Linked DNA regions of Coturnix japonica. The protein of the gene in region 1 interacts with the protein of each later gene in a pairwise test. Links are inferred from orthologs where the notes say so. Each region holds a gene or a part of one and is shown in the gene's direction. Other genes may lie near its edges.

Region 1 (3,821 bases):
TCACCAATAGTCTACTTATTTTACTGTTGGAATTTTGAAATACAGAAGAAAAACAGATGCATTTCTTTCTATCTTTCATGTTTGCTGCTATTGTGCTAGTTTTTGGGTGCTTTTTCAGGAGTTCCATAAAAAAAATAAAAATAAAATAAAAGTCCAGGAATTACAATATTGAACTTCTTGGTGGTTTTTTTTGCAGGGATACATATAATTATCGTGTAACTGTGCTCTGTCCAGTTATTCTTTTGTTTCATAAAGTGGAGGTTTGTTCATTGAGTACTGTGGTCTGGTTCTTCAAATATGACTGTGTGGTATTTTGAGTGTTTCAGTCACTTCTATACTGATCTTAGTAAATGGAGTTCAGGAGACAGAAGTTTAAGGTAACTCCAAGAGCTTAATCTAGAGAAGAAAATCAACATCTACATTAGAAAATATAGCAACTTTGTTAAGACAATCTAAAGAGAACTCAATTATTCTTTAACTGAAATCATATGGAGAGTGTAATTGTTTGCCCAAGCAACCTTATTTTTGTCATTTTCTGTTTTGTGTTTCTACTGTTGCCTTTACAGTTATTGTGAACAGCTGCTTCTGAGGTGTATTTCTAAATCATGCTTAATGAATAGATTAAGGCTGTAGGGTGTATAAAGTTGTTCAAGGTAGTCCTCCCACGGACCGCGCAAGTATTCATTGGAGAGCAAACGGCAAAGATTCAAGATCAGGAAAGTATGTCAGCTGTTATGCTGAATGTTATGAAGAGATGTCAGAAGACCCTTGTGTGGATGCTTGTCTTTTGGTTTAGGCTGAAAGTTGATTCATAGCAAATCAGTAGAACATATGAGATTTTTAGAAATAGCAGGCAGGCTTTCTCATAAACGCAGGTTGCTCAGATCCAGAAAAAATTGTGTGTTAGACTCTTTTCATTTAAGAACTAGCCGTGAAGCTAAAAAGTTTTGTTTTTTTTTTAAAAGAAACCCCGTGCATGGTTCAAATTGTACTGAAAAAACCTGGCAGCCTGGGAGAAGTTGCACTGAAACTTCAGTATCAATTTAAAACGCTCAGAGGGAAAAGGAAAATTAAGAGAAAATGGTTAGGTTGCAGGCCTCCTTTTGTCAAGTAGGACTTTTTGATGTGGGTGGAGTCATCCCTTTAACAGAATCTGATGACAAAGAATAACTTAATGTGCTTGAAAGCACACCTCTTAGTGAGAACAGTAACAGAGGCCACAATACATATCTTCAGCTTTTGTGGTGACCATCACTAGACTGACATCTACTGTAGCGTTGGCCCTGTGGATTAAAGTTTGCAACTTGGGTCTCTTCAGCACACCAAGAGCAGTTCATGCTCTGCAAAAGACTTCAAGTGAAACCAGTGCTCTCTTAATTTATTTACCTTTGACTAACTGAGAACTACAGCTGGTTTCTAACGCAAGCAATCACACGAACACATTAAGGTAAGTGTTTAGATACAACAAAAACAGTCAACTTTCTTTGATTTCAGCTGTTCATAGCACTTAGTCAGCACTGCAGCAACTTAACAGCATGACAAGGTATCACCCCACAGATTATAGTGGGGTGTATTATATAATATTATAATTAATATTATATAATATATATATATAATAATATAAAATAATAATATATAATTATTATATATTATATAATATTATATATAATATTATATATTATATATAATATTATATAATATATATTATAATCTATATTATATAATATAGATTATAGTGAAATGAAGCTGTTGAATGACAGCGAAGTCAATCTGGGAGGTTCTCTGTGTATTGTCTTTTTTCCTAACTTGTCTGTATGTGTATGTTGGTGTTTATTTAGCTTTAATTTATGGCTGTTATCTTAGCAGTTACATGACTTAAGTAGCTGTTATTCTGCTCTGCATTGTATATGGACTGACTTGGTAGGTAGACAATTTAGAAAATTCTTCTCTGTATTGTCCTCATGGATGACTTCTGTTACAGATTCTCGAGAAGTAAGTTGGGTTACCCAAATGAATTCACTGAGTCCCATTGCCTCTAAAGGATTTCAGAGTTTTAAGTTAGTGCTTCAACACTGCAGACTTTCAGGTCTTGGAATGCTGTTATTTTAAGAATTCTGGCTTTTTACACTCTATCAATAAATTGTTTCTTCTTATTTCCCATTTGTATGAAGACAATGAAGTTTTGAAAATAGCAGTGTAATAATGGGCTTTTGTCCCATTCCTCTTACTGGCAGAACTGGCATTTGGTGTTGTAGTACTGCAACTGGAAGTTGTATCTCTGTGTCAGATTATTTGTCAAATTATTTTCCTAGATCCTATCATGCTAACTTCTTAAGAAAATATACAGTAACCTGCTGCTCGAGAAACTTCATTTCTTGGCTATGTTAGAGTCTTCTTTATTTTGCTTGTAGATCAAGACAGTCAACCTGCATGTCTTTGACTGAGAAAGCTGATGAGATCAATAAGCTTCTGCAGTGAAACTGAACTGTTAATTCATCAAGTCAGTCTTAACTCCATTTAATTCATTCAAGCTCATTCAGCAGGCTTCTTTAAAATGTACTTCTTTCTGCAAATGAAATAAGCTCTTCTATGCTAGCTTGTTCAAGTCTAGTCCTATAACATTTCTTTTTCTCTGAACCAAATAGGAACTTTCACAGTAGTGATTCTCCTACAGTTTGTAGGAGAAGAGACAGTTCTATATATATCATAAAGCTACTTTCAGATTGAGCTACTTTTGGTTTTCTGAATGTATATGAGTTTTCCGAGGCAAATGGATTTAACGGTGCTTCTAAGATTTTGTTTTCTCATCTGAGCTTTTGAGGGGAGAAAAAGAGTACTTGTTAAACTTGTTCACATTTCTTAATATTATTCAGTGTTTTGTAGCCTTGTACTGTTCTTATATCAAATTATGTTAAACAGGACCGTCTAAGCTAGCAGGTACACCTTCCTGTAGTACTTATATTAAATCCAGCCTTTTTTTTTTTTTTTTTTTTTTTGTTTTGTTTTGTTTTGTTTTGTGGCTTCCCTTAGCTATAAGTGGATTTTCTTTTCTGTAAGATGTATGAGGTTAATTTGTGCACTTACTGAAATGGCTGAGAAAATGTAGAATCTTTTTCATTTTACAGGTCAACAGCAAGGACAGGATGGAGTGAAAGTGCAGCAGGCTACCATAGCACCTGTTACTGTAGCGGTAGGTGGCATTGCTAATGCAGGAATTGGTGCTGTTAGTCCTGATCAGATAACACAAGTGCAGCTGCAACAAGCTCAACAAGCTTCTGACCAGGAAGCGCAACCTGGCAAGAGAACAAGAAGAGTTGCCTGCTCGTGTCCTAATTGCAGAGAGGGCGAAGGAAGGTATGTATAAATGTTATTAATGTATCTTGTTACACTTTAAGTCATTTTGGCTTTTAATTTGCTTATGTCGTATCCTTTTTTAGTGCTATCTACTGCGAAGTATGTTTATATATTCCTTTTTAGACAAGGGGTTATAACTATCATCATGAAGTAATTTTCTACAACAGTTAGTAGTGTTTTGGAATAAAATTACTTACCTGTTTATATTTTACCTTTTTAGAAGCAGCAATGAGCCAGGAAAAAAGAAACAACATATCTGCCATATTGAAGGATGTGGTAAAGTTTATGGCAAGACATCTCATCTTCGGGCACATCTGCGCTGGCATACTGGTGAAAGACCATTTATATGCAACTGGGTTTTTTGTGGCAAGCGATTTACAAGGAGTGATGAGTTGCAAAGGCATAGAAGAACCCACACAGGTTGGTCAGCCTTCTCTATGTATGTAATACCTTATGTCTGGATCGTA
Region 2 (3,821 bases), on another chromosome or scaffold:
GGGGGAGAAAAAAATGGAGAATAGCTGATATTTGAGCTGCTGTGTGACTGAGGGGAGCACAGCAGGGAAGCACTGTGTGGCCGATCTGACAGCTGGGGCTCTGCTGCTCACCTGGTTTGTGAATGGGATGCATCCAAAAAGGAAGCTGACAATGGGAAGGGTCGTGTTTCTGCAGGGTTCTCAGCTGACACCTGTTCACTGGTTCTGTTTCAGGAAGCTCCGTGCCACGCTGGATGAGTACACCACCAGAGTGGGGCAGCAAGCCATCGTCCTGTGTATCTCACCATCCAAACCCAACCCCGTCTTCAAAGTTTTTGGAGCTGCACCCTTGGAGAATGTGGTAGGTATCTCTAGAAAAAAGCCATACAATAAATTGCAGGTTTAATTCTGGCTCAGAGCAGCCTTGTGAGCCTGGCAGTGATCTGAAGGTCATATTTAAGGCCCGGGAAATAGGGGTTCAGTGTATAAACGTGAGTTGAGCACTGAGTTCCTGTCTTCTCTGCGTAGTTTTTGATTGTCCAGCACAGTTCCCCAGGGCTAATAGCCTCAATTAAGAGTGCAGGGTGACGATGGATGTCTTTGAGCACAGCATGCTCCTTGCCACAGACCTGCCAGCAAATGGAGCAGATCCTGACTATGATAAGTCTGACTTCTGAACTTAACTTTGATCCCACAAATCCTTCCACTTGGTGATGTTACCCAGCGTTTCATCATCATCCTTCGATGCAGCCAAGCCTTTGGGGCCTGCAGGTGTTTTTGCATGGAATTGTTTGCTCTTTCATCTCCCCAGCACCCTGGGGAAGGCGACAGGCCCTGCTGCTCACCTCTCCTCTCCTGGTGCTCCTCACTTTGTTTACCTGAGCTTAACAATTCCCCACAGGTACGCAAGTACAAGAGCATGATTCTCGAAGACCTGGAGTCAGCGCTGGCAGAGCACGCTCCTGCACCTCAGGAGGTTAACTCAGAGTTACCACCCCTCACCATTGATGGCATTCCAGTCTCAGTGGACAAGATGACCCAGGTAAGCACAAGCATGGTAGAAATTCAGCAGAACCAGGGAGAGATGTGGCATCCTACAGTCGCATCCTGTTATTCTGCACCGGAGTTTATGTCTGCATCTCCAGAGGTCTCTTCTTTCTTTCCCATGGGATGTGACAGCTCTAGTTAGATGTGAAGCTTTGTTATTGCTGCTTATTTTCTGCATGTAGCAACAGCAGAGTTGTTTCTCAGAGCTTGAGGCTGTAGGGAGCACCCCTTTTCACAGAAGAATGGCCTGGGCTGGAAGAGACCTCAAGGTCCAATATTATCCCCACCACAGGCAAGGCCACCAACCTCCACATTTAATACCAGCCCAGGCTGCCCAGGGCCCCATCCAACCTGGCCTTGAGCACCTCTGGGGATAGATGGGGCATCCACAGCCTCTCTGGGCAGCTGTTCCAGCACCTCACCACTCTCATAGTTAATAACTTCCCCCTGGTATCCAGCCTAAATCTTCCCTCCTTGAACTTCAAACCATTTCCCCTTCTCTTGCCATTATCTACCCTCTCAAGGAGTTGACTCCCCTCTTTGTGCTGTTTTTCTGACCTCCCATACACCATGAACAGGGGCAGCACTTGGTCCTGCACACTACAGTGATTTTTGAGCCCTGAGGTCAGGGAGGTGGCTTCTGCTGCACCATTTTGGCTGTTTCTTGCGTGTTCTAGATAGTCCCCTCATTTTTCTGCTGGAACAGAGCAGGGCTTGCCAATTATTTAAGGCCACATCAAACCTTGGGTGAGATACTGATGGAGACTGCCCTGGAGAAATACGGACTTCCCTTCTGTCCAGGCCCAGCCCTTTGCTGACTATTTTTTTTTTAATGATAAAACTGGATATTAAAAATTTTAACATCAGGAGTTAAGTTTTCTCTGCTTCTCTTCCAGTGAAGCAACCTTTCCTCCAATGATCTATGAGAAAAATATTATTACTTCTCATGTTAGGCTAAAAATGAGGTTTTTCCTTCCAAGCATGACATGTCCTTAGCCTTCAGGAAACTCTGCACAAAGATTTAGACAAACCAAGGTGCCTCTGATGTTTGCTTGCTTCCCCCCACCCAACACTGAGTGTTCTATCCTTCTTTTGGCTCAGTTAAAGGAGAAATGCTTTTACTTCCTTTCTTCCTCCTTCATGTTTTGCAGGGAAAAACTGTGCCAACTGCTGATGCAACAGCACAGCAACATAGGGCTGCTTAACGCTGCATGAAAGAACTTGAGCTGTGGTAAAACAAGTCTTGTGTTAGGAGTAACTCTCCTTTTTTCAGTGCAACATGATCACTCAGAATAGCTTTATGAAGGTTTCTCCCAAGCTGTGGACAGTCTGTGCTTTTCACATCCAGTACTGCAGTGCTTTACGTGTGTATTATGGGCTGGTACTGAAGTCCAGCCCTTCTCCTGAGACTCTGGAGTCAACATTCAATTTCAGTTTCCCTGCATATCACACAGGGATGACATATTGTAGGTGTTCTCTTAAAATTTTAGAGCTCTGAATACCACGAGGCCATCTGAGGACAAAACTGACTGCACTGCAGCCTCCTGAGTGGATTTTCACAACCCAGGAGGTGTTCCTCCTTGCAGAATATTCAGGGAGTAAATATGGTACATGTGATGGTTATGAGGTAATTCCATTCCTGAAGGAGTCCAGCTGCCATACAGTTCTTGCCAGACCCTTAAATAGAAGCACAAAGCAGATGTGTTGAATACGACGAGGCTGCTGTCATTTTTGTGCCTCAGTGGCTCAGAATACATTACTTTGAGAGAGTGGATGATAACAGCTAAATCACTGCAACATGTTGCATGGCTGGAGATGCTGTTGCTTTCTGTAAGAATTCTGATTCCCAGAGCTGCTGGTACAACTCCATTCACTGTTAGCAGCTAGAGAGCTATTTGACAGCACAAAACTCTATGGAAACACGAAGCCTTGTGGAGACCCCAAATATTTGTAAGTACAAATGGAGCAGCACCATGAAGAGGTGTGCCTATGGGAGCTGCAGGTGCCTGCAGGCAGGTGGTAGAGATGTCATCTCCTCAACAGGGAGAGTGAAAATCTCTCTCCTTTTAATTGCTCTGCTTCCTTGTTGGTCTGGAGGGAAATAAAGGCTGAGCAGGGCTGCTCTGAGCAAAGAGCATCACTCACCTCATCTGTGCAGAAGATAGGAATGGCTCTGCTAAGCTGGTGCTCTATGCCAGAGCTGTACATGTGCTATGGAGAAATGCCTGGTTCTGCTGTCCTGAATTGGGCTCCTGCAGCTGGGATGCTCCATAGTCCCACAGCTCCCTGCTTGGAGCACCTTATAAAAACCTTGATGCATGTCTTGCTTTTCAATCTGTATGTTAAAAGTAAAATGGTCTAAAATTAGCTGTTGAAAAACAGCTGCAGTTCCTTCTTTGCCCTCTTCTACTCTCAGGAGCCCCATGTGCTGCTTTTTGGAGATATGTGGGGCCAAGAGAAGACTCCCAGCCATAGGTTTTTTGCCCTCTGGAAGCCTCATCAGGGCATTAACCTTAAGCCCTGGATGCTCCTCACACAGGACCCCTTGTTCCCAGCTCTTGTCCATGCTGTATACTGTTGCAGATGATAGAAATGAGGTTAGTTTGCTTCCATTGATACTTGGACTACATCTTCAGTGGTCCCTTCCAACCCCTGTAATTCTCTGATCATGTTTAGTACTAAAACTGAGAAGACCGAAGGGTGTCAAGGAGACATTTCTTAGGATTCCTCTCAAGTTTTCAATGCTGGAGGTTATAAAAGCCTTTCCCAGAGCTGACACCAGGGTGAGCTGTGGT

What was found.
Region 2: the proteins of SP4 (region 1) and NRF1 interact in binary tests that used the Homo sapiens proteins (3 or more experiments, as listed by UniProt). The two-hybrid records come from large-scale screens. The link is inferred for Coturnix japonica from reciprocal best matches to the Homo sapiens genes SP4 and NRF1.

The regions. Positions count from the first base shown.
Region 1 is NC_029517.1:28,004,201-28,008,021, forward strand, and holds part of SP4 (transcription factor Sp4), read left to right. Parts: intron 1-3,125; coding exon 3,126-3,354; intron 3,355-3,574; coding exon 3,575-3,774; intron 3,775-3,821. UniProt on the Homo sapiens protein: Binds to GT and GC boxes promoters elements. Probable transcriptional activator.
Region 2 is NC_029516.1:842,820-846,640, forward strand, and holds part of NRF1 (nuclear respiratory factor 1), read left to right. Parts: intron 1-213; coding exon 214-340; intron 341-880; coding exon 881-1,021; intron 1,022-3,821. UniProt on the Homo sapiens protein: Transcription factor that activates the expression of the EIF2S1 (EIF2-alpha) gene. Links the transcriptional modulation of key metabolic genes to cellular growth and development.